4 linked regions of the Diceros bicornis minor genome follow. The protein of the gene in region 2 purifies or fractionates together with the protein of the main gene of each other region. This does not show direct contact. Links are inferred from orthologs where the notes say so. Each region holds a gene or a part of one and is shown on either strand. Other genes may lie near its edges. The genes, in order: DPF2, SS18, SMARCC2 and BCL7C.

Region 1 (7,014 bases), on a different chromosome or scaffold from region 2:
AACATCTTGACTTGGGAGTAAAGCGACCTGGCTTGGCTGCAAGTCACCACATAAACATGGACATTTAGTCAATCCATGTGGACCTCAGGTTCCTCTGCTACAGACTGGGGAGGTTAGACTAGATAAGCTCTGGCATATTCTATAAAAGGGAGGGTCCTAGCATGGGAAGCTGCACAGAGTAAGCCTCCATTGCTTACATCCATAACTCGAGCTACACCAACAAACCCTGCTCTGGAATCCGAGGGGGGGCTTTCACTGAGCAGCCACAAGAGACCACTTAGGCACAGCTTAGCATGTCCCAGCAACTGAAAAGGACACATACCACACACAAGGTGGTGACACCACAAGACATGCTGGCTGGAGTCAATGAGCTGTAATGACTGTAATCTGAGGTAGGCATGAATCTTGTGTTGCAGAGTGGAGAGAAGGGAACAGGCTCACAGTTGCTCGCCTTTAGGAGGCAGCCATGTCCTCAGCACACAGAGGAAAACTGGATAAACAAGGCTGAGTGCAGCAGCTCCTTTGTTTCTGCTGATGGGAATTGATACTGACACTGGAAATCAAATGGAAGGAAGGACCAGACGGCCTGAGAGCTGCAAAATCAGAGCAAGGAGGCTGGAAACAGTTTGTGGGGAATGGATGACAGATGTTCTATCCAAGTTCTTATGAGTTAAGTGGGATTTCAGAAGGTGGGGCAAACTGTCTTGTGAGTAAGAGAGCTGGGAATGAAACACTTAAGTTGGCGGAAGAGGATCTGATGAGGAGAGGGTAAGACAGTGTGAGAGAGCTCTTAAAAACTTAAGGCTCCTATCGTAAGAAATTTCAAGCTAACATTATCCTCTAGATCTTGCTACCTAACTCAGAAGGTTTCAAGACCAGTCAGCAGCCCCAGGTATTTTATACTATTATTTTACCCTAATAAGACCCTTTAAAGACTGCTTCAATTCTGACACCACATTTGAGAGGGACAGAGAATTTACAAATAGGAAAATTCTTCTCCCAGAATAAGATGCAAGTCAGAAAAGATGAGCTAGTAGTCCTGACCTCAACGTATAATCTCAGCTGTCAGAAAACAAAGCATACCATGATCAAGAGAAAGCCAGAAAAGCGTCTCTTTCCAAGGTGAGAATGGTACAGAAAGAATGGAAGCCACTTCTTAAAGGGAAAATTCTGTAGGAGAATGTATTTAATTGAGGTCCACAGCCCTCTGCAGCTAGGACTGAGGAGGAGAAAGTTGGTTTCTCATTACCGGTGCAGTACTCAGGAACCAGTGGCTAGTGACCCTCATAATCTCTACACCTCTTCAAAAAGAAATAAGAAGTCATGCTTTCTTTAAATGGGGAACCCCTCACTGCTAAAACTACAAGAAAGAGTTGGCAACTCTATTTCCCTGAAGAAAGTCTTCCAACAGAAAGAATCTCATTACATATAACTCTCAAAACCTAGGCAAGTCTGACGTTCCCCCAGTAAAGTAAGATTTCCAAGGTTAAAGCTTTGATTCTTTTTCGAGAAGCAAGAAACCCATGTAAAACCTCCCCTTATAACGGGATGGGGGGAGTCGACAAAAAGAAAGGCAGGGAAACAAAGAAAGAACATCTGAGTCAGGAAGGATAACTATATAAACGGTAGATCAACAGCGTCATTTCTAAATTGAGGGAAATGTCAGCCTGAAGAGAGAGCTGGGGAAACTAGAGTGGGCAGATCAGAGAGAAAGATAATAGTGTTGGGAGGAGGGGGATGAAAGAGGCAGCAGCATGGAGCTGAAAGCAGGAGGAAAAAAAACCACAAGAGGAGAAGGAGAAGGCACTTAGCTTAATGGAAGTGGGAAAGCATTCTCAAAGAAAAGGCTCCAGGCAGGAGGAGGGGAGGAGGCAATGTACTCTTAAAAAAGGCTCCTGGGAAGAGTGGGGCTCAGTCTAACACGAAGGCAGATGAAAAGCGGTGAGACCCTTAGAAGAATTCCCAAACCTTTACCTTGTCATCCGGTCAAAATCCAGAAGCCCCGACTGGACAACTAGCCACCTCTCAATTTTCCTACCCCAACACTAAGCCCAATTAACCCATGAAAAGGCGCTTGCTCTATTCGCCCATGGGGCATGAACCCATTTCAGAACTCATTCAGATTCTCCTTCGGGGAGGGGGCTGGGTGAAATCAGGTCCCAAAGCGTCTTTAACTCACAGCTCACAACCATTCTCCATTTTCCCAACCACCACCAACTTGGCTCGCGATCTGCCCAGCCCAAGGGGACTGCACAGCGCGAGGCCGGCCGACCCAGCTGCTCCCCCAGGCTGCAGGGGCGCCCTGGACGCTTCCGTCCCGGTCCCGTGTTTGGATGGCTGGGAGGGGAAGGCGCAAAGGTCCGCTCCCCTGAAGTTCTTTCCCTTCTGTCTCTGCTCCTCAATTCCTCCCAAGAATATTTTTGGTCCTGGGTACCAAGACCCCCGGCCCCCCCAACGTCACGGGGCTGTTTAAACAAAACACCCCGCAGGGCTTCACGGCGCCTGGGGCTCCAGGGCCGGCTGCGGGAGGCCGACGGGGAGGGGTCGGTCCCGGGCCGCCCTCGGCCCGGCTACTCGGACTTCGGCGTCTCGGGAGCGACATCGGGACCGCGCGTCTCCCATACGCAGCAAGGGTGCCATACTCCGGACACCGCGAGCCCGCCCCGCCCCGCACGGCGCAGGGGGCTGCCCGCCAGGGGCTCCCGTGTGCCCCCCTCAGGGCCTCCACAAGTTTCCAAAGAAGCGCAACGTCTTCTCCGGAGTCTCCTGTTGCCCTCCCCGCTAGGAGTCGCAACGCGGCCTTTCCGGTCACGTCCCTCTCTCCGCCTCGTCCTTTCCCGCACCGCCCCCTACTCCCAAGCCCCTCACCAGACCTCCCGGCCGAGAAGAGAAAAGAAACGACCACTCACAGCTTCACTACATTTTCCACCACAGCCGCCATCTTCCCTGCTCCTCTCCCTCAGGCCGGGAGGCCCGGAGCCCGCAGCGCGCAGGCGCCGGGACCCCTCCGGGGAACCAGTTTCCTTGTCTTTCTGCGCAGGCGCCGCCTGGGGGCGCGCGCGCGCCCCAGAACGAGCAACGGAGAACGAGCTTAGGGGCTGTTCGCGGGGGCCAGAGAGCCGAGGAGCCCGGTGCGCAGGCGCGGCGGACACGGGTGCGCGCCCCGAGGCTCCGGCTCGAGCCCCACCTCTTACATTTGGAGGAGCGGGAGGAGGGAGCAAGGCTGTGGCCTGGTCCAGAAATGAGAGGGCGAGAGGTTGGTGAAAACTGGCAGGCCGAGATGGGCTACGTGGAGCGCATGCGTGCGTCTTGGTACCTGGCCCACCCTTAACCTCCTGGTTAACCTTTTGCCCTTACTCACAGGCGGGAGTTGGCAGGTAGCGAAGGTCAGAGGGGTGCACAGTCCACTTGGGCCCCCAAACATATGTCCGTTTTAGGGAGAGGAAAATTAACCCCCAGAACTGGGCAGTTCTTTGCCCTAGATATTGGGGTCTGACAAAAGTTACCTCACCTTCCTACCACCAAACCCAGCCACCATCTTCTCTGGTACCTACCTCTTCTCCCTTGTTTCCTACTCCTCTCTAAGCTCCTTCCCTCCACTTATGTTCTGAAGACATTCCCTCCTTCAATTATCCCTCTCTCTCCTGTACCATTCATTTCTCCTTCACTATTGAATCATGCAAATTCATGTAGAAACATGGCTTAATATCCTCCTTAAAAAAAATCAGAGCCCTTCCTTTAGCCAATGTCTGCCTTCAATTATCACCCCATTTCTTTTCACTCTTTTAAAGCAAATATTCTGTTTATACTCCCTATCTCTGTTGACTTATTTCCAAGTCTCTTTCTGCCCAGGTTTAATGGGAATTTTGTTTCCACCAGTTCACTTGAAACAACTAACAAAGTCACCACCACCTCTGCTTCAAAAGATTTAGAGATTTCTTCTGTGTCCTCGTTGGCCTATCAAGCCCCGTGACACCATTCACCCTTCCCTCCTTTTCCAAACTCCACTCCAGGTCTGTGAGACACACACTATCCCAGCTGTCCTCCTGTCACGCTGGCAGTGCCTTCGGCTTCTTTTGCTGGCTCTCCATCCTCTGTTCCACCTATAACTTTCAGAGTCCCCAAGGCTTTGTCCTTTGTCCGTGTCATATACCTTATTTCATAAATTCCACAATGCACATATTCCTTCCTCTCCCCCCATTTTAATATTTCAGAATCAGGACACGTCTTACCATCACTGTGCCTTATAATCTTGTTTGGCAGATGGGAGTTGTGAGGTATTTGTCACTGCCTACCCTGCACCAAACTTGCAGAGTGGGTGTCGGTGGCTTGGAAGAAAAACCCAGAGACAACACTGGTACACTCTTCTACCCCTGGGAACCAAATGATTGTAGGGACAAAGGGTATCAGAGGTGACTCCCAAGCAGGAGTCAAAAGTCTGCGTTATAGCCTGAATGTTTGTGTAACCCCAAACTCATATGTTGAAGCCCTATCCCCCAATGTGATAGTATTTGGAGGTGGGGCCTTTGGGAAGTAATTCAGTTTAGATGAGGTTGTGAGGGTGGGACCCTCGCGATGGGATTAGTGCCCTAATAAGAAGAGGAAGACAGGTATCTCTCTCTCTCCACGAGGAAGGGCCATGTGGGGACACAGCAAGAAGGCAGATGTCTACAAGCCAGGAAGAGGACCCTTACTAGGAGCCCAATCTGCTGGCACCTTGATCTTGGACTTCCCAGCCTCCAGAACTGTGAGAAATAAATGTCTGTTGTTTAAGGCACCGAGTCTATGGTCTTTTGTGATAGCAGCCCAAGCCAACTAAGACAGTACGCTGGCACTAAAGCTGAAATACACCTATGCGGTGACCCAGCAATTCCCTTCGTGGATATATACACCAAAAAGCATGTACAAGAATGTTCACAACAGCATTAATTATAATAGCCCCAAACTGGGAACAACCCAAATGCCCACAACAGTAGAATGGATTAAACGACAATGAAAGGAACAAACTATTGCTACACAACAACATGAATGAATCTCAAAAACTTAATGTTGAATAAAAGAAGCCAGTTGTAAGAAGAGGACATATATTGTATGATTCCATTTCTATAAAGTTACATAAACACACACACTGGTCTATGGGGGTGGAAGTCAGGAGAGTGGTTACCTTTGGAGGATAGTGACAATGAAGGGGCATGAGGTGGCTACTGAGGTGCTGGTAATGTTCCTTTTCTTCATCTGGGTAGTGGTTCCACAGGTTTGTTCACTTTGTAAACGTTGAACTACACAAGATTTGTGTACTTCTCTGTATGTATATTTCAATAAAAATATGAGTAATAATAAGTAGGCTAGTTATATATAATTGGAAAGTCAGATTATGAGCCCAACCTCAGTGGCTTTCAGTTCTTTCAGGATTCTTTTAAGAAGTGCTACATCACTGAACAATAGATACTCCGCATGCTCTGAACCAGTGACCAGTATATATAGTGTTTCTCTTGCAGACGAGAACCAAGGAGTGGAAGTAGGGTCCAGCCTCTTGAAATCTCAACTAACGATTCTGCAAAATGTTTGTTTCCTGCTCCTGCAGCTCTGGGCTCTGGCTGATCTAGAGCCTTTAGGACCCAGGAGAGGAATGCTTCCACCAGGGGGCACAGTAATGATTCTTCTAAAACAGGAGCTGAGACTGCCAATGGGCCATTTTGCGTTCCACATGCCACAAGGCAAGAAAGTGAAAAGGGGATACCACTGTTGGTTGGGCTTATTCTAATCGTCAAGGGTAAATAGGATTGCTATTCCTCAGTGGGGGCAGGGGGAAATAGAAATGAAACCCGGGGAATCTTCTTAATGTTACGTTCAGGTAGTTAATGGGAGACAGGTTCCTGGTTAGGTATTTAATTCCAACCTTCCCACTAAAGACAAACTGAAAAACAGAAAGTGAAAAAAAATCTTAGGGGCCGGCCCGGTGGCATAGCGGTTAAGTGTGCGCATTCCGCTTTGGCAGCCCGGGGTTCACGGGTTCGGATCCCAGGCGCCCACCAACGCATCACTTATCAAGCCATGCTGTGGCAGCGTCCCATATAAAGTAGAGGAAGGTAGGCACAGATGTTAGCCCAGGGCCAATCTTCCTCAGCAAAAAGAGGAGGATTGGCATGTGATACTGGCTTAGGGCTAATCTTCCTCATACACACACACACACAAATCTTAAAAGTATTGAAAAGTTAATGATAAAGTGAAGAATTACTGGACCAACATTTAGAGGCTAAAACCCAGAAAGATAAGCCCAGAATTCAAAGCAAATTTTGTCCTGGGGGCATTTACTGATCTGGAAGATATAACTGTGAAATTGAGCTGTTATTTGGCAGTCTTTGGGGAGAGAGGGTAAAAAATTAAAACCTAGAGCCTGACCAGGGTAGGAAGTCAGATACCCCACCACAGACATATACACACTTTAAGAGGGACATGTAGCCCAGAATCATGTTATCTGGGTGGTCCAGGGAAGCTCGAGCCTTGAACTTGGATTAAAGTAGACCCATCTTTATAATGTCCCTAGTAAGCCGGCAGACGCAAGCATATTTGGTACCAAGCAACATCCTTTGTGAAGGAATGTACTGTCATCCTAGGCCTCAAATTATTTCTAACAATATTTTTTCAGATACACTATCCAGCCCATAATCAAAGATAATTAGGCACACAAAGAAACGAGAAACTTTGTGTAAGAATGGATACAAACAATAGAAAACCAAATTGACCCACAAAGATTTAAGATATTGGAATTATCTGATACCGACTATATAATAACACCGCTTACTATGTTTAAAGAAGTAAAAGATGAGCATAAAAATATCTGCAGGGAACAAATACCTAGTAAGAAGTGCCACAACAGAATTTTTAAAGAACCGCATAGAACTTCTGGAACTGAAAAATACAATAACCAAAATTAAGAACACAATGAATTGGTTAAAAAGTAGATGAGTCATGGCTGAAGAGAGAACAAGTGAACTACAAGGCAGAAATTGT
Region 2 (7,623 bases):
AATGGGGAGTGACTGCTAACGGGTACAGGATTTTCTTTTTGGAGTGATGGGTGGAATGGTTGAATTGTATGGTATGTGGATTATATCTCAATAAAGCTGTTATTAAAAAGAAAGGTAAAAAATTAACCAACAGAAAAATGAATACAAAAAAAATTTTCACGTCAATCTTACTGAGAACACTCTGAGGTCTTTCCTTTATTCTGATAGTCCATTATACACTGAATAAGATGGTTATTTTCGTCCAACATCTGAAATAAAATTAGAAAAAGTTTATTGTAAATCTAATGCATCAAGTAACATTTTAAAAAATTATTCAGATTTCTAGAAATGTTTACCTACACAGGAACTGAATCCACTGAGGTCTTTAAATCTTACTTTAAACTTCTGGAATGATATCATGTTTAATCAACATTTTTTTTATTAACTCTATTCCAATTATTCTCCCTCTGAATTATTACCTGAAGCCCAGAAGGGAAAATTTGGAGTCTCTTTTGTATTCAAACATTTAATTACCTCTGCTACCTGTAACAAAAGCTTTAGCCTGTTAAGACTAGAGTTAAGAGCCAAATTATTAGAGTCCAAGTTGGCTTTGCATCATTCTAATGCTTTGTAGTAGTAAAGAAAAATTCTGTCCTTATCCAGAATGAAGTAAATACATGAAAACTTCAGCCCAGGAGGCTTGAGGTGATAGCTGCCTGGTTTCCAAGTTTTATACAGTACCGTTTTGTGATCCTCCAAATACAGAATAATCAAATACAATAATTTCTATGTATGTATAATATTTACTGCAGACTTTATGAGCTTACCTTGTAATTACGTTGTCCCAAAAGTTTAAAAACAAAGCCTATCAATTTACCATTCTTCATCTTATAACCATTCAAAGCAATACTGGCTTTGAGAGTTAAATAATTCATCTAAGCAAAGTGGCAATTAAGGAAAGAACACTGATGTAGCAATTAAAAGGCCGGTTGGTTTTAGTGCCAGCTTTGCTATCATGTGCCACCCACTTAAGATTTCAGGGGCTCAGATTTATCTGTAAGATCAAGGGACAGGAGTAGATGTTCCTCCTGAACCTGCTTCTCCCTTCCAGGATTCAATGAAAGCATAAAGTACAATACCATAATCACTCTATCTCAATAATTCAGTTAATGTAACTCTTTTAATTAAAAAGAAGATCCATTTAACATTAACTTTGTGCCTTTTTTTCTGCATATGAATCATAATCTTCACTTGCTGGAAAAAAAATATTAACGTGCCCTTCCAAAAAGTGCAGTTATTTCTTAAATAGAATCATTGGATGCCAAAAAATTTGTCCTTAAAATGCTTTAGTCCAATCTGACATTCTCACAACATATCTTCTAGTAGATTCCTCAACCTAACAAAGTTCACCGTTAGAATGTCTCATATCGAACATCAATCCCTTACACTGTTAGAATGAGGCACTTAGTTAGGAATCCATTTTCTCTTCTCATCTGAGGATGAAAATTGATCAGCATCTTCTGAATTAATCACCCAAGATAAATATCTTAAGACGTACGAAAGAAAAACTCGTAGAAAAAAATAACTCCTGACTTTTCTACACTTCAAAAATAAAAATAAAAAGCGAATCCCTCCGGAAACATGTTTTGCGTGTGTGTACTTGGAGCTGTCTGCCAAGCTGCAGACTTAGCCCCATGCATTGTATGAAAGCACTGTATCTCCAAGCACTGCCAAGCGGGTTTGTTCATAAAACAACCCAACAGTTGGGCAAATGTCAAATGCCACACGACAAAGAAGCTGACAGTAAACAGAAGCCGATTAACATAATCTACTGGACATACGATGGTGTCCTGAGTGGTACTAAAAGCTGACTTTTCTTCAATTTTCATCCTTGCTCCAGTGCATAAAACAAAATCGAAATATTTAAGGTAAACTGCTAAATTTAGCAAGTAACTTTTCAAAGTCCGGCTGACTACAATTCAGAATGCTGTCTTGCTCACAGGCCACAAGAGGTGGAGGACAATCAAGAACCTTTGTAGCTCTAACTGGCAGTAACACAGCAGCGACAGAGGCAGCACTACCCTCTAAGAAGGACTCAGTTCCCTGTGTGTGTACCACGACTTCTGTAATTGGCCACGACTATCAGACTGTCCCCACCACTAGACTGTAGGCTCCATGAAGACAGGGACCACGGCTCATCACTGTAGCCTCGGCGCCCAGACTAGGCGCTCAATAAATATCAGCTGCAGATGTAAACGGATAAGGGGTGCAACCAGAAGGGAGAAGTGGACTCCGAAGGTAACCCCGAAGTCCACAGAGCTCTCCCTCCACCGCCCCTGAGACCCTACTACCGTTCCCAGCAGCGTCCCCCAAGCTCTCCTGGGAGCTCCCCAACTCCGCCTGAGTTTGCAGCGCCGCGGAGGGAGGGAGCGAGCAGCGCTCCAACTTCCCTCGGCCTCGCGCGCCCGGAGGTCGGGTCTGCACCGAGCGGCCGCGCCGCGCGGGGCGGGGCGACGCCAAAGTAACTCCGGAGCGACGCGCGGGGCCGCGGGGGGCGCCGCTCCCACAAACAGCCCTGCCCCGCGCGGCCGCCGCCGGGCGCACGCGCCCCGCCGCCCGAACGCCGCCCCATCCCTAGAGAAATCGGGCGGCGGTTCCTTGGGCTTTTGTCCCTGAGAAAAGATCCTGGACGCGCGAAGGACTCGGTGAGAGAACCAGTTCGCCCCCTCCCGCCCACCACTCCGGCACAGCCCGCGGCTCGGGTTCCCACACACCGCCGCCTCCCAGCAGGCCCGCCTCCGCCCCCGGCCCGGCCGACTCCCCCCCGTGTCTCTCCCAAGCGGTCCTGGCATCCCCGACCCCGCAAGCGTTCACCTTCTGAATCGCGGCGGGAGTGATCTCCCCCTTGCCTCGCTGCCTCGGGGCTGCGAACGCCACAGACATGCTGCCGCCGTCACCACTATCGGCAAGTCCCGAGCGCTCCGGGAGAACGGCAAACTGGGGGAAAAGACGCCGGCCTCTCGGGCTGAACCACCTGGGGAATGCGGGGAGGGGGGATGCTGCAGTGCCGAACGCACAGTCGGCCGGTCTGCCCTAAAGGAGGCACTCCGGCCCACACACGTCCTGTTTTCGGTGCGTTAGTTGGCAACCACGGCCCCGGTAGAACTTTCCTGTTCTTGACTGACCTCTCGTCCCTCAACCTTTCCTTACCCGCCCCCCCCGTCCCTTTGCGCTAATGGTAGGGCCGCGCCCCAGTCCTCCCTCCGCTTCAGCGATTCAGGAAATGGTCCCGCCGCTGCGGGAGAGGGAGAGGCTGGGGCAGCCCCTGTCACAGGAAATGCGAGCGGCCCGAGCCGGCCCGCCCCTTGCGCGCGGGTGCAACTTGCCTCCCTCTCCGGCGCGCTGGAGCGTCCCTCCGACTGCTCTTCGGCGCTCTGCCCCGGACCTAGTTCAGTTTTTCCAACTTCGGCTTCACCCCTCCCGGGAAGAAGTGGCCGCCCTGAGTTGTCCGGGCACCCCGGAGAGTGAAGGAGGCAGGTCAGGACCCGGGAGTTCGTGCAAACCCGTGAAGCATCAGCTGAGATGAGGCAGAGGTGGAAGGACTAGGTGAACGCGGATTCGCTGGTTTAAATGGCTCGGCTACGCCCCAAACGCGCACCTCCGAGTCCACAGTCTCGCACGCACACACAGTCGTGCCTAAGAGTTGCAAAGTAAGCCTGACCCCAAATCGGGAAACGAAGGCTGTGTGCAGGACTCAGGGGCAGTCGGCCAAATGGGCTAGAGCGGCCACAGGAGAAGAGTGCGCCTCTTAGGACAAACCCTTAGTCGAACTGTGGGTCGATTTCGTGTGACTTGGATCTTTGGAAATAAGTTTTGAAATAGGGCATCCTCATTCTTCTTTTCCAATTATATACTTAGAGTGCCTTGTAAATTAGGCCCAATTTAGTCTTCAGATCAGCGTGAGGGAAAAAAAAAAAGCTTTCAAATTATGGAAGGAACATGGGCAAATATGGGTAACGTGTTGGTGTGGGGTTTTATTATTCGGTCAATTTAGACTTCCATAGGACACAAAGGAAAAGTTTATATTAAACGTGACCCAACAATGAGGTTCAAAAATCATTCTCTCAGTTTATATATAAATGAACTGGAAAAATTTAAAAAAAAAGCATATTTTTAAATTTATGTTTCAAGTAAATGCTCTTCACAAAAGGATCATGAGTTTCGTTCGTTCAGCAAATTTGGATGCACTCTGTGTTCTAGGCTTTATGCTAAGCACCTAGGATACAGCTGTGAACAAGCTGGACATGGGACCTGCTCTCAAGCAGCTTATATTCTAATTGGGCTCACAGACCAGAAACTAGTAAACAAACAGGTATATATGTAAAGTTCTAAGAAAGACTAGCAAACAAGGGACTGAGAGAGAATGACAGGGGCACTCACATGAGTTAGGGTGGGAGTCCTGTGTCTTTTATTTAAACTGAGACCTACAGGATGAAAAGACTCAAGCCATCCTAAGAATTAAGGGAAGAGAATTTATACTCCTACGAATAGTAGTTATTCTTATGAATTTAATTGTCTTTTGCTACCTTAAGCCTTGAAAAAAAACCACTCTGGTACATTTGAACTCAATGTAATTACATCAAATTAGAAAAACTATTGAATTCAGAACAGAAACTAAGTCTTATCCACCACTAAACACTGTATATCCAACACCTGGCTTTCATCATCATGTCTCGCTGTTTACACAAAAATGCCTTAGTAGTTAAGAACAGTATTTCCGTAGGAAAAAATTAAAAATAATTTTACCTACCACTCCAATTCTATCTGTTTGGAAGATAGCACCCCAATCTTAAAGAACCAGTAGGAACAGTTGTCTGAATTTCTATATATCAACAAAAAAATATTCCAAGCAGGTACCCAGAGATAGATACCTTTTTGTTTAAATTACAGCTTCCCAACAGCAAGAAAAAAAATCAATTCAAAATAGGTAACAGATCTGTTTGAGGTGTTTATTCCTTCCAAGTAGCAGGGTAGGGCTTAGGGCACCCACAACCCCTAGGCATGGATAACCATACCCTTTTCTGTGATAACATGTGCTATAAAAATACCATCACATGGGAAGCATTGGCATAAAGGTCCAGCCAGAAATACAAATGATCTCCCTCACAGAAGATACTTTAAAAGGACCCTACCTTACTCTCAAGCTTCCTTGATAAACCCAATCAGTCAGCTTGACCTGGACAAGTCGAAAATTCAGAGAGGGAGAGGGAAGGTTGCAGCCTGGAGGAACTTTCTTAGAATTTTGGAGGCTTTGTAACTGTAAGAGCCCCAAGTTAGGGGAAAGATAGTTAGGGGCACCTAGTAGATATTGTCTCACTTCACCATTATTTCGGGAGAGAGGAGTTCCAAAGTACAAATTAAGTTAAGTGGTAGCAGAGTTGAGAGGAAAAGGAGAATAAAGAGGCCCCAGGATTTAGGTAAGGAGAAAACGGAGAATGCATATGGGAACTTAGCCCAAATTGGAGAAATGACTCTGGGAACTTAAAAATGAGCTACCCAGGTAAGCATCTCCCCAATCAGAAAAATCAGTCCTGTTATTTAGACTGCTCTTGGATTGAGACATCTGAAGAAGGAATTGAAGTCACATAACGAAGAGGTAAAAGGGTTTTTAGAATTATCCTAATAAAAGAAGATATACAATGGCTCAGAATAAGTAAAATAATCTGCATGAACAATTAAGTCTTGATTTATTCACACTAATGAATGTAGATACACTTAACAAAAAAAAGGTAATAAGAAAATTGGCTGTATTTGATTTTCAAATGTTTCAATTTTTTGTTTTACATGAATTTTTATTCCTCAAATGTATTTCACTGAACTGATAAAGTGAAGTGCTCCAGGAATATGCTCAACATTTAGTGAAACAATATAGTCATGACATTAAAAATTATCTTAATGCACAAAAAAAATAGGATGCATTTCAGATAATTGAGATTACTTTCATACAAGCATTTCTTTAATACTTATTGTTTTATAATTAATAGACTAACTCTACTGTCAAATTTGCTGATACTTTCAGCCCCTGTGCTGCCATTTATTTTTAGAATACATTGGGAAGGCATAGACCAAGCCTGTCTGCTCGTAATTGGGCTCAGAGCAAAACCCCTCAGGTCATATCTTTCAAAATATTTCCACTCACTGTCTCCATGGCATATGATGAGTCATTTTGAGTTGTAGCTTCCACAGATTTCAAGACTATAAGGAGAAGAGCATACATCTCTCTATATAATCATTATTTCAGGCAAGAACAAATCACCTTTCCCAATTATCCATAAAAGACTTTATTTTCAATACTCCAGAAGATTTCATTCAAAGTAGACAATAATAGCCTATCTGGCACATTTCCATCTCTTCTTACAGTATCAAACATAGAATGAATTAAGGAGGAGCTAAATCAATTATATTTGGGAGTTTAATGTTATAGGGAAGTATTGCTTTTAAAAAAAAATTAGTCTCTATGTGAAATTCTCTGCTATCTTAACTCCCTGTGAAAAATGCACAGGTTTGGAGTTCCCAGTTCTTCCACCTACAGCATGATACTGGACAGGTCACTTCTGTATTTCATTTGCCTTCCTGAAAAACAGCTGGCCTATCTAAAAGGCTATTAGAAATAATAAGATGTTTAATTATTTATTTAGCATTTATCATCCACAGCCACTGTGCTAAGTGATTATTTTATATTACATTCTTTATGATTGTCCCAATTTTAACAGGTAAAATGTGTCAAACACATGGGATATTATAAATTGCTAAACGAGGATAAGATTTGTACCTAATAATCTAATAAGGAGAAAAATATATACTTTAAGACTAGAAATGGTCCAAAGTACTGGAGAGTGCAGTCTACCCTTGGTAAATTTTCTGGCCATAATTTAGAGATCAAATGATTTTTTTCCCATTTAGCATGTTCTCTGACCTTGTGCATGATGTGCAGTTACTCTGCCTTTAGTAAAAGAATATAACAACTGTTCTTTAACTACTTCACAATGTATAGAGGATGATAATATACCAATTTCTCTATAAATTGTTCCCTAATTTCTCTATGAATGGGCGTGGTAGGCAGAATAATTTCACCCTCACAAAGATGACCACCTCCCAATCCTCAGAACCTGTGAATATGATAGGTTACATGGCAAAGTGGAATTAAGGTTCCAGATGGAATTAAGGTGGTTAACCAGGTGACCTTAAAATACAGATATTAACCTGGACTATCTGAATGAGCCCAGTATAATCACAAATATCCTTAAATGGGGAAGAGTGAGCCTGAAGAGTCATAATCAGAGAGATAGCATCTTGAGAAAGACTCAACCAGCCATTGCTGGCTTTGAAGATGGAGCAGGTCATGAGCCAAGGAGTGTGGGTGGCCTCTAGAATACGGAAAAGACAAGGAAGCAGATTCTCCCCTAGAGCCTCCAGAATGAACACAGCCCTACGAACACCTTAACTGTAGCCAAGGGAGGCTCATTTGGGACATCTGACATCCAAAACTGTAAGATAGTAAATTTGTGTTGTTTTAAGCCATTAAGTTTGTAATAATTTGTTAAAACAGCAATAGGAAACTAATACGATGTTTTTCTTCCATTT
Region 3 (7,742 bases), on a different chromosome or scaffold from region 2:
CTCACCATCCCTGGTCACTCTTGAATTTGTAGGCAGCTGCAAGTATGTGGCACAGGGAGCCTCCCGCTTTGAAATCTAGGAAACATTTGATCTACAAAATTGAGACAGGAAAGAAGGATGTGAGAGTTACACCCTAAATTCTCTTATTACTTAACAATCCTTTCACAAAATCCCATGCTGAACTGGTCTCCCTCTCAAAGCTGGAATGCTTTAACTCCTGGGCCACTGTACCATGTGGCCTGGAAGAGGGGAGAGACAGAAACCAATATTCACAAAGCCCCACCTTTGTGCCAAGTACTCTGCTGGGTTACCTCATTAACCATTACAGAAACATTAATCTCATCGAGAGATGAGGGAACCATGACTCAAAAGGTTTAAATGGCTTGCTCAAGATCACAGAGACATCAAGTGGCAGAGCCAGGATTTGAACACAGGCCCGTGAAAATCCAAATCTCATCCCCTTTTAACCATGCCACGGGAGTTCATGTATGGAGCTCAGACTCTCTGAGATAACCTGTACAAAGTATTACTGCACAAAGTATTACTAAGAAAATGGGAATGGTAAACTGGGGAGTAAGCCAAGCCAACAATGCCCTACCAGATACAGGGATGGTAGGAAATGACCCAAATCTCAAAAATCATAAAATTTCCAAAAAAAACCAAAACTCCCTCTCCTGTTGGGAGGATTCGCCTCCTTGCTTTTGTACTCACCGGCAGTTTAGTGAGTGGTGCATTGCTGACATGTTTGCCAAAAACTTCCTCCTGAAACTGTAGCAACTGTACAACCAGGCTAGACAAGGACTTGTTGGTGGGTGGTTCAGCTTGTATATACTGGGAGACAGAGGAAAGAGAGAAACACAGACCCCAGATAAATTGTCCACCATCTCCCTTATTCCTTCCTCAGGAACTCTGGAAGCATCTGGGGCAGAGAAAATAGTGTTGTCTTCTCCCACATGTCTAGTGTCCAAAGGAAAATAGGAGAAGGGAGGCCCTAGATGCCCCTCACCAGGAAGTTGAAATTCTGCTGCCCCCAGCCTAGGGGGCCAGCGTTGGGTGCTGGGGGTAAGGGTTGCTTCCTGAAATTGGAGTTGCATGACCCTGATCTCTAGCCAACAGCACTGAGGGTTATGAAATTCTGAAGGTTCGTGGAGTTCAGGCCATGGAAGCCACACTTTCGAGGCAATGGTGTATTTCTCGGGGTAACTCTGTGGAAGGTCAAGATTTCCCCTATAATGTAGCCTAATAAGAAAGGTACAAGGAAGCGAGTAGGGCAAACAGACTGAGAGAGTGAGCTTGTGCATTCTGCTTCTGCTAGGACCCAGCACAAGCTTCTTTGTAGCCCCCGCCCCCCAAAGATGGGAAGGACTAGCTACTATCCAGCCTAGTGGGAAGAGAGCAAGACAACATCTGTCCTGTCGGAGGAAACTATATCCGAGACAAGCAACCCTGGGCTTCTTAAACATTTCTGTATTATGCTACCTAGCATCCTAGCCTTCTGTTCCAATTTAAAACTGAGCCAGGAGGCTAACTTTCTCTTTGCCTTTTGACCCCTGTTTCCTCAACCCTAATCACATCACAGAGAGGAGTGCTCCTCTCAGCGGGAGGTGGAAACAGATCCTTGAAGGAAAAGGTACAAGACAAAGAGCTAAGAGCTTGAAAGCTGAACCAGGTCACAGGCTGTCAATCCCCCCAGGGCCAGAGACTAAGCCCCTAGACTGATCTCCTTTCCAAAATGTCAAAGGGAGAAGCCTGGCAACCAGAGCCTCACGCTGGGATACAGACAAGCCACAGACCCAGCAGCTGTTTGTCAGGATGCTGACACCCAGAGAGACCTCCGTGAACAAGGCAAGGCTCAGAACCAGGATCAGAGGGGTGTTCTCCTCAACCACCCATCACACTTCTGACAGGCTGCAAAGCTCAGTAGCAAGAACTGGGGAGCTGAAGGGAAGCCAGAAAGAGAGCCCCTAACGGGGGGTGGTAGAAGCGAGAGAGGCAGACTCTCTCCAGAGAAAAATCTTATGTGTAGATGTTCCTTTCAACCAGGCGGAAAGACAAAGACAGCACTAGCAAGAGCTCTGGTGGAAAAGACAGGTAAGGTGTTTCCAACGCTCTGTTCACTACCTGGTTATCTCCAGTTATCGGGTGGGGGGCTAGAGATATACAGCGTGTCCTAGCCTCTGAACCCCAAACCCAAAGCAATGCAAGGCCAGGTGGTGGGGTGACTTCATTGTGAAGCTGAAGAAGGGTTTAAGAAGGAGTCGCTGCCCAGCAACTCCTATAGCCTGGCTCCCGAAGAGGTTTTGTTACTCCTTGGATGGACGTGGGGGACCGGAGGCAGAGACAGGTGATCCCAGCGTGGGGGCCTTTTTCAGGCTGATGAGCAGCCAAGGGCCTGCTCCGTGGCTGTCTACCCTCCGGCTCCCATCATCTCTCTCCGAACATACACAAAGCACCAGGGAGGCCTCAGCTCTGCTGGTACCTGGCTCCGCGGGGAGCTCCGGCGGGCACGGCGGCGGGCACGCTCGGAGGGGGAGGGGGACGCCCATTCTGCACCCCGTCCACCCGCGGCCTCTCTCCCGGAAAAGCCCGGAAGGCGATGGCTCAAGGGAGGGTGGGCTGCTGGCACGGGACCCGCGGGGGCAGGGGAGAAAAACGAGGGGCAGAGGGCGCAGCGGCGCGGGCGGGGGCTGCGATCCCAGCCGGCGGGCGGCGGCGGGAGCGGGGGAGGGGCGCGGGGGCCGCTCCGCAGGCCGCGGGGGAGGGGCCGCGGGCCGCCGCGGGTGGGCAGGAGCCGGGGGCTGCGGGGGCCGGTCCTTTGTCCCGCCCCCGGGCCCGCGCGGCCCTGCCCGCGTACCTTCTTGTAGTTCTTGCCGAGCCAGAGCCGCACGTTGTCGAACTGGGTCACGGTGTCCGCGGCCTCGTAGTACTTCACGTTGGGGCCGCCGTCCTTCTTCCGCACCGCCATCTTCTCGGGCTCGGGCCCGCCGCCGCCGCCCGCCCCGCTCAGCTCAGCTCCCGCCTCCTCCGCCTCCTCCTCCGCCCGCCTCCCGCCGCCTCCCGCCGCCGCGGCCGCCGCCTCCCGCTGCCTGGGCCGGCCCCGGCCCTCGCAGCGCCCCCTGCCGGCCGGCCGGGCGTGGCGGCGGCGAAGCGCCGGGCGCGGGACCGACCCTGGCGGCCTCCCCGGTGGCGGCGGCGGCGGCAGGAGCCTTGGGGAGCTGGCGGCTTCCTGGAGGGGGCGCACACTCTCTGAGGTCGCTCTTGACCTGACGCGAAGCCTTTTGGCTCTTTTCGCCTCTCAGCCCGGGGAGTAGGGTACCTCTCTATCCTACCCCAGGGGGACGCCCGTCGCCTGAGGAGCCCCCAGCCCATGGCTCCGAGTGGTCCTCACCTTGCACATTCCTGAGCCCGCGGAGCCCCTAATCCCAGGGACCCCCAGACCCTTTCCCCAAGAAGTTCCTGCCTTCCATCCATCCCCAGGAGCTCGCCGTGTAAACTCTTCCCGAGTCTCCCTCGCCCCTAACCCCGCACCCCCTCTCAGCCCTTAACCCGAGGAGTCCCCCGGGCGCCACCCTGGAGGCCCAGCCCCTTCCCTCCGACTGCTTCCTCTGCAGGCCTCGCCATCGCCTCCTAAAGAGCTTTGCCCTCCTTGAGACCCTGAGTCTTCGAGGGGCGGGAGACCCTCCCTCCCTGGGTCACCCGTCCACCGGACTTTCCCCGAGTGGCGTGGAGGAGAGGTAAGGAGCGGGCGGGAGGAGGTCATGGGGTGTGTGCAGGACTTGGGCCAGAGTCCTCCCCCGGTCGCAGTGCGGACCCCTCTGTAAGCGCGCGGCTGAAGGAGGTTTTGGAAGTCACGGTGGCCGAGTGGTTAAGGCGTTGGACTCGAAATCCAATGGGGTTTCCCCGCACAGGTTCGAATCCTGTTCGTGACGGCCGGTTTTTTTTTCCCTTTGAGGACGTGTAAAGGGAACTCCTTGTCTTCGCGTGTGTCTTTCGTGCAGTTCCCTTTCTGTCTCGGAAATAGAAGCCGAAAGGTCTCACTCTCGGATTTGGGGGGATGGGAGTGATCACGGGAAGCTTAATTATGCACAACTGTATTGGCTGCTAGGATACAAGGCACTTGCAGAATTCTGTAACTTCAGGTTTGCGAGCAGAGCTTTGGCATCCGTTGTTTCATTCTTTTGGGAGGGAATAGGAAAGGATTTGGTTGAAGAGGGGTTAAGTTTTATTTGGGAATGTGACTGCCTGTTGTGCTATAATAATCAAAACTGGAGTTTCCAGGAGAAGAGGACACCTCTGGATTTCATGACCAGCAGTCACATCTTGTAGGTCTGATTACAGTGAAGACCCAGGAAACAGGGCATTCTCTCATTTGGATTTCCTTGAGGAGGTGCGCCTCAGGTACTGCAGGGCTGGGGGGAGTAGCCTGTTGAAACATAAACACTGCAGGTCTAGCTGGAGCTCTAGTGTGGGAAGATCACTGTCACTTTTTATTGAGTACTCATTGTGTGCCAGGTACTGTTCTAAATTGTGTATTAACCAAGCTGGGGAATAAATCTCTCCACCAACCTCTAATCCTCCAACCTCACCCCATTCTTCCTATCCCCCAGTTTCTGATTGTGGGGAATATGTAGGATGTTCTTTTTGTATTTCATTTCTTGCACGGCAGCGTCTTCTCCAGGAAAGATCCCTAAAAGGCAGGGAGTTCAAGGGTAATTCATAGAACTTTCTATGCTTTACACCATTGTTCCTGCTGTTCTTTCCAAATCACCCCCACCCCCCTACTGTGATCACTTTCCATCTGGCACATCCTTGGACCCCTCCTTTTTTTTTTTTTTTTTTTCTGTGAGGAGGACCAGCCCTGAGCTAACATCCAATGCCAATCCTCCTCTTTTTTGCTGAGGAAGACTGGCCCTGGGCTAACATCCATGCCCATCTTCCTCCACTTTATATGGGATGCCACCACAGCATGGCTTAACAAGCGGTGCATGGGTGTGCGCCCGGGATCCAGGCCGGCAAACCCCGGGGCGCCGCAGTGGAGCACACCTAACCGCTTGGGCCACCAGGCTGGCCCCGGACCCCTCCTCTTTGAGGCTCTGAATTACTCCAGCTGGAACCTATCCGTCTACCACCACCATCCACTCGGTTGCATTGCAAGTCATTTCCTTTGACACACCTCTGCAAAAATTAACAAAATGAAAACGAGTTATATTTACTCTACCTCCTAAATATGTCTCAAATCTGTCCACTTTTCTCAGGGGTGAGTGCAGGCTGGACCTACCAGTTGCTGGAGCTTTCATTTGGAAAGTAGGGGTAGTTGTGAGGACTACATGAATCAACAGATGTAAAGTGCACGAAAGCATCCGCACTGTAGCCAGAGACCATCAGCCCCTCCATGGCTGCGTTTTGTGGTTCGTGACCTGGTCCCTGTCTCTCACTGCTCTTCTGTATTCACTACATCCCGTCCACTGGCATTCTTTTAGTTCCCGGTGTAGTATTTGTCCGTCTTCATGCCGTTCTCGGCCTGAAATCATCTTTCTCATCCTCACCTTCTACTCAGTCTCCACTTAAATATCAGTTCTCTTAGGAAGTCTTCTCCAACCACCTGTCGCCCGCCACATCCTACGTCCTAATCTTATTATGTGAAGTCTTTCTTCCCCTGTAGAATATAAACTCTTGGCATATATAAGCCACTCAATTGAAAAAGAATCTTTGCTGAATAAATGGATGTTTTCTACAGTAGTTCTGTGTACGTGTTTTAATCTTCACGCGGACTGGACTCTAAGCTTCTTGAGAGTTAGGATTGTGTATTTTATTTGTTCGTATCTCCCCTACTAGGCCTTACACATGGATGTAATCAAATATGTACCGAATGAACGAATAGAACCTAATAGGCTCGGTACTCCTTTTTGCGCATGCTCTCAGATTTAACTCTCTGGAGAGCCAAGACTAAAATCGACCAGCAGAGGGCAACCGACAATTACGTAGTGATAGGAAGCCGGCTCCAAGGTGTATAAAATGGAGGACCTGGACGGAAAAGAAGCTGATGGAGGTTGCCTGGTACCTGGAGATCCTACCTTTCGCTCTCAAATGCTTCCCTTGTAACTTTCGGGGATGAGAGGCCAAGGCCTCGAACCTTCATGTACAATAGATAATTTCAAATTTTTACCATCCCTACAGCCCACCCCAACTCCCCAATTCCTTCACCCTTTCCCTTTCCATTCCAACAAATCCTATCTATCCTTATATCGTTCTTTGCGTTGCATGAGCACCCTTCTCTCTCTCCTCATTCTTACATGTTTACTACATTCCATCCACTGACATTCTTTACTTACTGGTTCAGTATTTGGCCTTGTTCATCTGACCTGAAGTTACCTTCTCCACCTGGGCTTGCAATCCCACTCATTTCAACCTCCCAGAGAACCTTCCATAAATATCCTTCCATAACACATTCAGATTCCCCTACTCCACTGGATCAATCCTTCATTAATTCAGAACAAACAAAATTACACCTGCATTTGACACTTCCAAATCACCACGTTATTTTCTACTTCCTTTTATTTTTTGAGTAAAATGTCTACCTCTGCCTCCAGCTCCATACTATCTTAATCTCTCTTGTAGAAACCTTTGCTATGTTTGAAACCATTGATTTCTTATTGGGCTGTAGAGACACTGTACTCTTGTTTTTCTCTTAGAATACTATTTCTCCATCTCATTTGTTTTCTCTCTCCTTCTGTGGAATTCTACCAAAGCTTCATTCTTCTCCCTCCTCCCAAGACAAAAATCCTAAGCCACTGTTCCAGGCATGGCCTCTCAGCCAAACTGTGGTCCTCTATCTCCAGCTGCCTATGTATATGTCTCCACAGCTGACTTAAGGTCACCTAAAATGCAAACAAAACTTCTCTTCCTTTCCCAGAATCACATGCTCAACTTTTTCCATTTCTGTTAATACTATTTTCTCAATTCCATGTAGTTTCCAACCTTAAGAATTATCTGACATTTTTCCTCCCATGCCCATCATTCATCAATCATTGCTTCCTCCATCACATCATCTAATGCATGCTTTTGTTACAATGGCCTTCCAGGTGCGCCAGTTTCACACTTAAATCTCTAAACACTGCTTTCCTATTATTCCCGTCTAGGAACTTCACCGCCCCATCTGATCAAACACATGTTCCTGTTATCAACACACCCTGCCTAAATCACCTCTTTTTTAAAATCCCTAATTCTTCCCAGTAAGATACCCCCAATCTAATTAGGCTGGGTGTCTCCATGTGTCAGCCTAATTCCTTCCTTCTTTCATGAAGTTCCTTCTGTTTCTTGACCTTATAACCAGTGACTAGCTAATGCCACCTTATACTGATCTTTTCAGCTACAAATCCTTAGATCTTAATCAAAATTGCTTTTATGTGACTGAAAAGCTAACGGGGGGGAAATCTAACAGACAAGAATTTATTATCCCCTTCCAAGTTGTTGACGGGTTCCAAGTGTCTCTGCAGTTCATCCAGTAAAGCAAATTATTAGAGGACTTGAGCTGAAATGATCTCAACCTGCACTTGTTTCAGGAATGCTGTCACTGCACAAAACATTTCTGGGAGTCCTTCACAGATTATGAGCCATATTTAAATGATTCATTTCTTCAAAATTACTTTTTTAAAAAAAGCTGAAGCATTAACCAACTTTATCATGCATCTATTTTCCAGATTTTTGTCCCAGATTACTTCTGGAATTCCCCCAAGGTCCCA
Region 4 (7,769 bases), on a different chromosome or scaffold from region 2:
CCCCCAGGATCTGGAACGTCAAGTTAACAGACATTCCCTGAGCAGCCGCTCTGTGCCATAGCGCAAACCAGGGGGAAACAAACACCAATCACATAAGCCCACAGGCTGTGGGAGCACTGAGGAGGGAGCCAGGAACCTGGCTGCAACCCAGGAGGAAGACACAGGAATAACATTTAGGTGGGATCTTGACAGGTGAGTAGAATTTGATCTGGCAGACAGATGGGGAGGTAGAGCACATTTTAGGCAGAGGGAACATTTGCTTAGCCAGCACAGATTGTGGGGCTGGACTGCCCAGCTTCAAATCCTGACCTGACTTAATTTCTCTGGGCCTCAGTTTTCCCATCTGTAAAATGGAGATAATGATAGTAATTACCATGTGAGGATTAAATGAGAGAATACAGGTAAAGCCCTTAGCACAGTGTCTGGCACGCAGTTAGTGCTCAGTAAATGCCAGTTACTGGTTTTATGTTAGCAAAGGTATACACGTGCCGGGCACAGTCTAGATACAGTCTGTAGGCCCAAGGCATGGTGTTCCTGGAAGGGAACAATGAGGTCAGCAGGGGACAGTTCAGGAAGGGCCCAGAGTGCCAAGCTGCAGAGTCAAAGGCCATAGGGAGCCACTGAAGGCTCTGAGCAGGAAAATGACCCAGTCGAACTTGTGCTTTAGTTGCTCTGGCAGCTGTGCTGGGGCGACTGGAGGAGAGGAGACCCATGAGGAGGCTGGAGCCAGGAACAGGTGAGAGAGATGACAGCCCGGGGAGGGAGAGGAAGGCAGACATATTTGGGAGGTGGCACTGACCAGACGGGTGATTGACTATATGGAAGAAAGAGCAGTGAGGACGACTCATGCCCAAGATGCTGGCTCATTGGCTGTGAGCTTAGGCAACTCACTTAACTTCTCTGGGTTTTGGTTTCTCGTCTACAAATGGGGATCATAACAGGATTATAACCCTCAGAGGGTTGTAGTGAGGATTAAATGAAATAAAACACGTAAAGTGCTTAGAAGGGTGCCTGGCACACAGCAAGAGCTCAATAAGTAGTAAATGTTATTAGCACTTATTTATCACTCTTAGGATTATCACTATTATTTATTCCTCAACAAATATTTATTGAGCACCTACTATGTGTCCCAAGTTGTTCTGAGGAGACAATAGTGAACAAGATCAACATGGGCCCAACATTCAGGAAGCTGACATGAGGTGGGAATCAGAGAGAAAGACATTTAAGTAGTAAAAAGTTAAATTTACATGAAAATCTCGAATAGTGATAAATATCTACAGACCCTAAGAAGCCAGAGGAAGGAGACAGACAGTTGTCAGAGGTAGGGCAGTGACTTCCCTCGGGAGTCAGGGAAGGCCTCCCTAAGGAGGCAACACAGGATAGGGAGCAGCTGTAGGAGTAAGCTGGTGGCTTCAACTTTGGAGAGGACAAGACTCAGAAGAGAGGGCTCCTGGGAGGCAGCTGGTCCTACCTCTCTCCTGGCCCAGCCGCGGGGGCTGAGCGTCCTCCAGGACCCCTTCCGGTGGTCCGGCAGGTGACACAGGGCGGCTGGGCTGGGGGGTGCCCCCAGGGCTGGGCTCAGTGCCCTTTTGCAGGGAGCCTTCCGAATGGAAACTCTGGTTACTGTTCTCATCTGTGGGAGCAAAAGCCAAGAGGGTTGGGCCTGAGGCCCTCAGTCCCCTCACTCAATCCCCACAGCCCCCCAAATTCCAGGATCCCTACATACCATTGAGATCAAGCAGGATGAGAGGGCCACCCCCTCGGGGACTGGCACCCCTGCCCCGACGCTCCCGGCCTCGAGATCTCTCTGCCCCACCTCCTGCCCTCCGTCGCTCCTGGGGGTTAGAGGGTAAGGGTCAGAGCCAGCTTTCTAGTCAGTACTTGCAAAGCCCCCACTGTACAAATAAGCAAACTGAGGCACAGAGAAGCAAAAGGCCCTGCATGAGGTCACAGAGGTTGTGCACACGAGGTTAGGTCTTGAACTCAGGGATCTGGAGTAGGAAGAAGGGAGAAGGGGTGGAGTTGCTAATAATTGTTAACATCTGTTTGGGCTGCTGCATTTGAGGTCTGAGTGGGGACTGGAGATGGAGGCCAGGGTGGGGAGGGGCTTGCCTGCTGTTGCACAGATGCAGGGCCTGGTGTGGGGGAGCTTGCTCACCTCCTCCTGGGGGTCCACCACTGGCACCCACTTGAAGATACGAAGGGAAGTGTCGCCCACAGTCACCCAGCGCTTCTCCCTGTGGGAGGGTGAGGGAATTGGGTCAGAGAGGCCTGAAAAGAGATCCCCCCCAGGAACTGGACACATCTGGGGATACCAGCAGACGTGTGGGTGGTGCACGAGGGAAGGGGCAGTTTTGCTAATAGGGCATAGTTAGAGGAAGAAAGAGAGCTCTGCAGACCCCAGGACATACATGGGCCCAATGGGCCATGGCTCTGCAGACCCCTGGGGTATACATAGGGAGCGCGGCCACGGGCCGGCTGGAGAGGGTAGCAATGAAGATCCCGGGGCATACTTGCGGGAGGAGTGTCAAAGCTTTAGGGGGCGGGGCATATATGGGGGCTCTTGCTCTGGGAGGGCATGGCTGGGGAACACGCTTTGTACACCCCAGGGTGTAGCCAGGAGAAAGGGGACACAGCCCTGTAGATCCAGGACGCGGCTAGGGGGCACACCTAACAACTGGGGGCCACAGCTGGCGAAAGGAGGGTAGACGCATTTGGGGAAGGAGTGGCCCCGCCATGCCCCGTCCCCGGCCCCGGGGCAGCGCTCACCATCTCCGGACCTTCTCGATGGTCGCCATCACCTTCTTGATGTCATCCTTGGCCCGGCTCCGGGTCTCGGCCCGCACGGTCCGGCCGGCCATGCTGGCGGGGCTGGGGCCGAGGCCGAGCCCGCGGCTGGGCCGCCTCCCGTCCGGCGGGCTCAGGCTCGGCGCCAGGCCGGGACGCCGCTCTCTCGGCCTGCCGTCCCTCCGGGAGTTGGCCGCGCCCTCCCTCGCTCCCCAAAGCCTGCACGAGTCCCCGCCCCGCTTCCTGCCGCCGCGCCCCGCCCCGGCCCGTCCCCAGAGCGGCCCGGCGGCGCGGGCGGCCAGAGCCCAGGCCTGGAAGCCGGCCGGCCCCGCCCCGACCGGGCCCGCCCCCTCGGGGCGCCCCGACGCGCAGCGCCCCCTGCCCGCCGCCGAGAGGGAGGTTGGGGGCAGCTCGAGGAGTGGACGAGAGCGGCAGGGCTGAGGCGGTGCGTTCAGACCACGTGGACGCCGGGGGTGGGGGTGGGGGGTGCGAGACGGTCTGGGTACCGGAGCGCGTCCGCTGCGCGTGAGTGTCCTTGAAAGGCTGTGTGTGTGTGTGTGTGTCCACCCCCGCCTGCCCGACTATTCCTTCATCCATTCTTGCAACTATCTATTAACTGAGTGACGATTGCGTACCAGACACTGCAAATATGAGTGGGTCTCCACCCACCAGAATGACTAAAATGAGAATGACGGACCATATCAAGTGCAGGCCAAGAAGTAGAGCAACTGGACCTCTCCTATTTCTGGGGGAGTGTAAATTGGTAGTTTTCTAGTGGAGACGAACATACACCGACCCTATGATCTAGCAATTCCACTCCCAGGTCGTCAACAGAAATGCGTAGGTATGAGCACCAAGAGAGTGTACTGGAATGTTCATAGCAGTATTCATATTAGCCTCAAACTGGAAACAACCCATCAACAGGAGAGTGGAAAATGAACTATAGCTTGTTCACACCATGGACACAGCAAGAGAATGATGTCCTGCTACACCCAACCACAGGGACAAATCTCATGAAAGAAGTCAGATTCAACAGTAAACATTGTATGATTCCATTCATATGAAGTTCAAAAAAAAGGCAAAACTAATTTATGGTGTGAGAAGTCAGGATAGTGGTCATCCTTGGGACTGGGAGGGGCTGAGAGGGGGCTCGGGGAACTGGTCCTATTCTGTTTCTTAACCTGGTGCTGATTCCCTGGGGATGTTTACTCTGAAAATACATTGAGCTGTACACTTACAATGTGTGCGCTTTTCCCTATGTATATTATACTTCAATTAAAAGTTTACTTAAAATGTATCTTGGTTGATTTTGAGGCTGTTTGCCAGCAGATATGACATGTCTAAGTTTGTGTTGCTGTGTGTGCATGTGTTTAGCTATTACGTAGCTATGGTGTCTGTGTGTTTTGGTGTGACTATGTCCAGAGGGGTTAAGGTATAGGAAGGTGGTTATGACAGCATTTCTGGAGCCAAACTGCCGAAGTATAATCCCAGCTCTGCTTGTCCAGTGACCTTGGACGAGTCACTTATCTCTATTTCCTCAACTATAACATGGGACTGAATTAATATGTATATAGCTCTTAGAACAGTGCCTTGCATATTGTAAATACCCAAGAAATAGTCACTGTTAATAAGTGTGTGATTGTGGCCCCTACCATCAGTTGCACCTGCTGTGCCCTCTGCCAGTTAATCTCTTTCTTACTTTATTCTGGCAGTTGTCTGCTCATGGCAATATCCTCACAGACACACAGGCCTCCTTCCTAGTCCCTTCACTCACAAACCTCATTACCTGCTGTTGCCTATGGTCTCCCCCAACATTCTGTGAGCTCCTCAGGGGGCCAGAGACCAAGTATGGATCATCTCTGGGTCCCAGAGCCCAGGACAGAGTGGGTGCTTGGGAACCATCTGTGGGGATAAGTGTGTTTGCACCAGGTTAGTGGGGTTGACATACAGGTATGACCCCCTGTACCTGTCTCTTAAGCTTGTTCCTGTGTGAGAATGAAGGTCTGTATGCATTAATGCTTCAGTAGGTGTGGGTGTGTCAGACGGGTTCTCTTACTGGGCCTGGTAAGGTGAGGTGAGGTGAGATGGTATCTGTCTCCCTCCTAGTAGATGTGACAACGAGAAGGAGGGCAGAAGGTATCTAAGACACGCCAGGAGGTGTATGCCGGGGCAGGTGTGGCCCAAGCCTGAGGGCCCCCATCGCGGCCTCTCTCACACCCCGTTCCTCCCTCCCCCCCAGCCAAGAGGAAGGGCCAGCACATTCCTGTCCTGCCAGCCCCGCCCTCTCCTATCCCCTCAGCTTTTTCCCATAAGCAGCCCGGGGGCCAACCTTTGCCCCAGGTCGGAGCCTGAGCCTCCTCCTCCCGACGTGACGCAGGTCTGCCTCCCAGGTCCCGGCACCCCCAGCCTCGAGGTCCCGAGTCAACCATGCGGACAACCTGCCGCCCTTCTCAGGCCCCTTTCCCAACTAGGCCGCGCAGGCAAGGAGCTGAGCTCAGGGCCAAGGAATCCTGTCTAAGGCTTTGGCGGGGGAGGGGGATTGTTTGGGGTCTGAGCCCTGATTGGCTGCGTCCGGGCCACGCCCCTACCCCTTTTCCCCTTCTCCCCCCTCGGACCGGGGGCGTGGAGGCAACCGGGATCAGCCAGGGGCCAGCATGAGCCGGAGGGAGGGAAGTCTGGGTAAGGGGCTGAAGGGCCAGGTGCCAAGTTCCCGAGGGGAACAAAGGTCAGAAGGGCCGGAAGCTGGGGTCTGGGTCCCCGCCACCCCCGGGTCCGGGAAGGGAGCAGCCTGAGCGGGGGAGAGCAAGGCCCCGGTGTCAGGGTAACGAGCAGATGAGCTGTGGGTGAGCTGTGGGAAACAGCAAGCGCCAGAGTTTAGAGGTAGAGGAGGCCTGGGGCTGTGCCTTCAGGGAGTTGGGCTCAGGAGTTAGATCACCGGTTCGAGTACACCCTGGGGGAGGACTGGGGTCGTGGCTGGGGCAGGACGCCTGGATCTTCTCCGAGTATTGGGAAAGAATCGGAGCTGGGGGCCAGAGGGAGGGGTAGGGTTAGGGGAGGAAGTCTTTGGGCCCCAGGAGCTAGTGAATAACAACAGGAGACGAAAGTCGAGGCTGTTAAGGATAGGGACTGGCGGTGGGAAACTCAGGTGGGGGCGGGGGGCGGGGCGGGAGTTGCCAGACCAGGACTACATTCCCCAGCATGCCCTGGGCTCGCGCGCTGGGCTTCTCGGGAAATGTAGTCCTCCCCGCCAACACGTAGCTTGTGCTAGGGAAGGCCAGTTGTTGATTCATTGACGCTGCCCGGTGCCCAGCCCAGCGCCTTGCACAGAAGAGCCATCAGGGAGGGAATGGGACTTCAGTCTCCCAATCTGTAAAATGGCCTTGAAGGCGCATTCTGACTTGAATTCCACCAACAATCACTGAGCTACAGAGCTACCCTTAAAGGGCTGCCAGGCTGAGGCAGATTCACACAGATAAAAGAGCCATTAAAAGAACAACTTGGGAAGTGTGAACAAATGGCCTTAAGTAGAAGGAAGAAGTTAATTTAAGGGTGGGTTGAATCTGGAGTCTGTGCTGAGGAGGCAGTATTTGGATTTGGCTTTAATAGGATTTCAACAGTGATTTGGGGACAGGGAATACATTTCAGGTAGAACAACTGTTTGGCAAATATCTAGTACCTTATTTTCCCTCAGTTGGAATGGGCCAGAGCCTGCCTGGCTTAAAAGTTGGAATATTCAGAGCAGAGCTTCTGGGTTTGGGAAGGGAGAGCCAGCCTGGAAGAGGTGGTCAAGGAGCAGGGATTTGGACTGCCCTCATTCTTCCCCCTTTTCCCACCAGAAGACCCCCAGACTGACTCCTCAGTCTCATCCCTTCCTCACTTGGAGGCCAAGATCCGTCAGACACACAGCCTTGCCGGCCTCCTCACCAAATATGCTGAGCAGCTGCTCCAGGAATATGTGAGTGGGGATGGGGGTGGGAGTGCCAGGGGCCTGGAGAATAGGGAAGTACAGATCACAGGGATCCTTGACCACCCATTTTCTCAACCTCATTTCCCAGCTGCTGACATTGGGGCTCTGGAGAGGGATCAGTAACTTGTCCCTGGCCACACAGCAAATTGGAGGAGGACCCTCTCTGTGCCCCAAATGTCCCTCCATTCGCCTCAGCTTGGAGGCTCCCTCCTTGGTACTTTAAGACAGAGGGAACCTGAGAGAGTGAAGACAATTCTGCACTGGGAGGCAGGAAACCTAGGTTCTATGCTCTGTGTGATCTTGTCACCTCGCCTCCATGGGCCTTGGTCTCCCAATCTGTAAAAGGAGGCGGTTGAACAAGATGACCTGTGAACTCTTCTACCTGTGATATGCAGAGAGGCCATGAAATGGTTTCAATCTAGGGTAAAAATTCCATCCTAAGAGGGGACTTGTACAGAAGAGGGGGATCTGCTAAGATCTTTAGTTGGGCAGAGGGCTTTGACCAAGGAAAGAAGGTATTTCCCCAAATTGCTCTGGTGTGGTGGAGGGAGGGTATAGTTTTAAATGAGACAGACTATAGGCCTGCCAACTTGCTGTGGCCTTGGGCAGCAATGATAACATTAAAAATAATAATGTAACAATTATGATGCAGATAGGGTGATAATAGAATTAGCTTTGTAGTCCTACCAATTTTGGTTAGAATTCCAGCTCTGCCCCTTCCTAGATGGACGACCTGAGGCAAGTCACTCTACCTCTTCAGCCCCAATATCCTCATTTGCAAAATCATCATCATCATTACATCCATTATTGGGAAGATTAGGAATACCATAGTCCACCCTTATCTGTAGTTTCACTTTCCATGGTTTTGGTTAACCTCAGTCCAAAAATATTAAATGGAAAACTCCAGAAATAAACAATTCATAAATTTTAAATCCCATGCCATTCTGAGTAATGTGGTGAAATCTTGCACCCTCCCGCTTTGTCCAGTCCAGGACATGAATCATCCCTTTGTCTA

What was found.
Region 1: the proteins of SS18 (region 2) and DPF2 purify together in Homo sapiens (affinity purification with mass spectrometry; 4 studies listed by BioGRID and IntAct, counting the BioPlex papers as one, with this or other methods). This does not show direct contact. The link is inferred for Diceros bicornis minor from reciprocal best matches to the Homo sapiens genes SS18 and DPF2.
Region 3: the proteins of SS18 (region 2) and SMARCC2 purify together in Homo sapiens (affinity purification with mass spectrometry; 3 studies listed by BioGRID and IntAct, counting the BioPlex papers as one, with this or other methods). This does not show direct contact. The link is inferred for Diceros bicornis minor from reciprocal best matches to the Homo sapiens genes SS18 and SMARCC2.
Region 4: the proteins of SS18 (region 2) and BCL7C purify together in Homo sapiens (affinity purification with mass spectrometry; 3 studies listed by BioGRID and IntAct, counting the BioPlex papers as one, with this or other methods). This does not show direct contact. The link is inferred for Diceros bicornis minor from reciprocal best matches to the Homo sapiens genes SS18 and BCL7C.

The regions. Positions count from the first base shown.
Region 1 is NC_080770.1:7,847,547-7,854,560, forward strand, and holds the start of DPF2 (zinc finger protein ubi-d4), read right to left. Parts: upstream 3,002-7,014; 5' UTR 2,942-3,001; coding exon 2,910-2,941; intron 1-2,909. UniProt on the Homo sapiens protein: Plays an active role in transcriptional regulation by binding modified histones H3 and H4. Is a negative regulator of myeloid differentiation of hematopoietic progenitor cells. Might also have a role in the development and maturation of lymphoid cells.
Region 2 is NC_080755.1:21,352,169-21,359,791, forward strand, and holds the start of SS18 (protein SSXT), read right to left. Parts: upstream 3,015-7,623; 5' UTR 2,923-3,014; coding exon 2,854-2,922; intron 249-2,853; coding exon 172-248; intron 1-171. UniProt on the Homo sapiens protein: Appears to function synergistically with RBM14 as a transcriptional coactivator. Isoform 1 and isoform 2 function in nuclear receptor coactivation. Isoform 1 and isoform 2 function in general transcriptional coactivation.
Region 3 is NC_080756.1:12,582,694-12,590,435, reverse strand, and holds the start of SMARCC2 (SWI/SNF complex subunit SMARCC2), read right to left. Parts: upstream 3,019-7,742; 5' UTR 2,966-3,018; coding exon 2,855-2,965; intron 832-2,854; coding exon 712-831; intron 92-711; coding exon 6-91; intron 1-5. UniProt on the Homo sapiens protein: Involved in transcriptional activation and repression of select genes by chromatin remodeling (alteration of DNA-nucleosome topology).
Region 4 is NC_080765.1:21,104,648-21,112,416, reverse strand, and holds the start of BCL7C (B-cell CLL/lymphoma 7 protein family member C), read right to left. Parts: upstream 3,017-7,769; 5' UTR 2,862-3,016; coding exon 2,770-2,861; intron 2,238-2,769; coding exon 2,159-2,237; intron 1,836-2,158; coding exon 1,727-1,835; intron 1,634-1,726; coding exon 1,472-1,633; intron 11-1,471; coding exon 1-10. Other genes in the region: CTF1 (cardiotrophin-1), read left to right, coding at 5,442-5,466, 6,624-6,742. UniProt on the Homo sapiens protein: May play an anti-apoptotic role.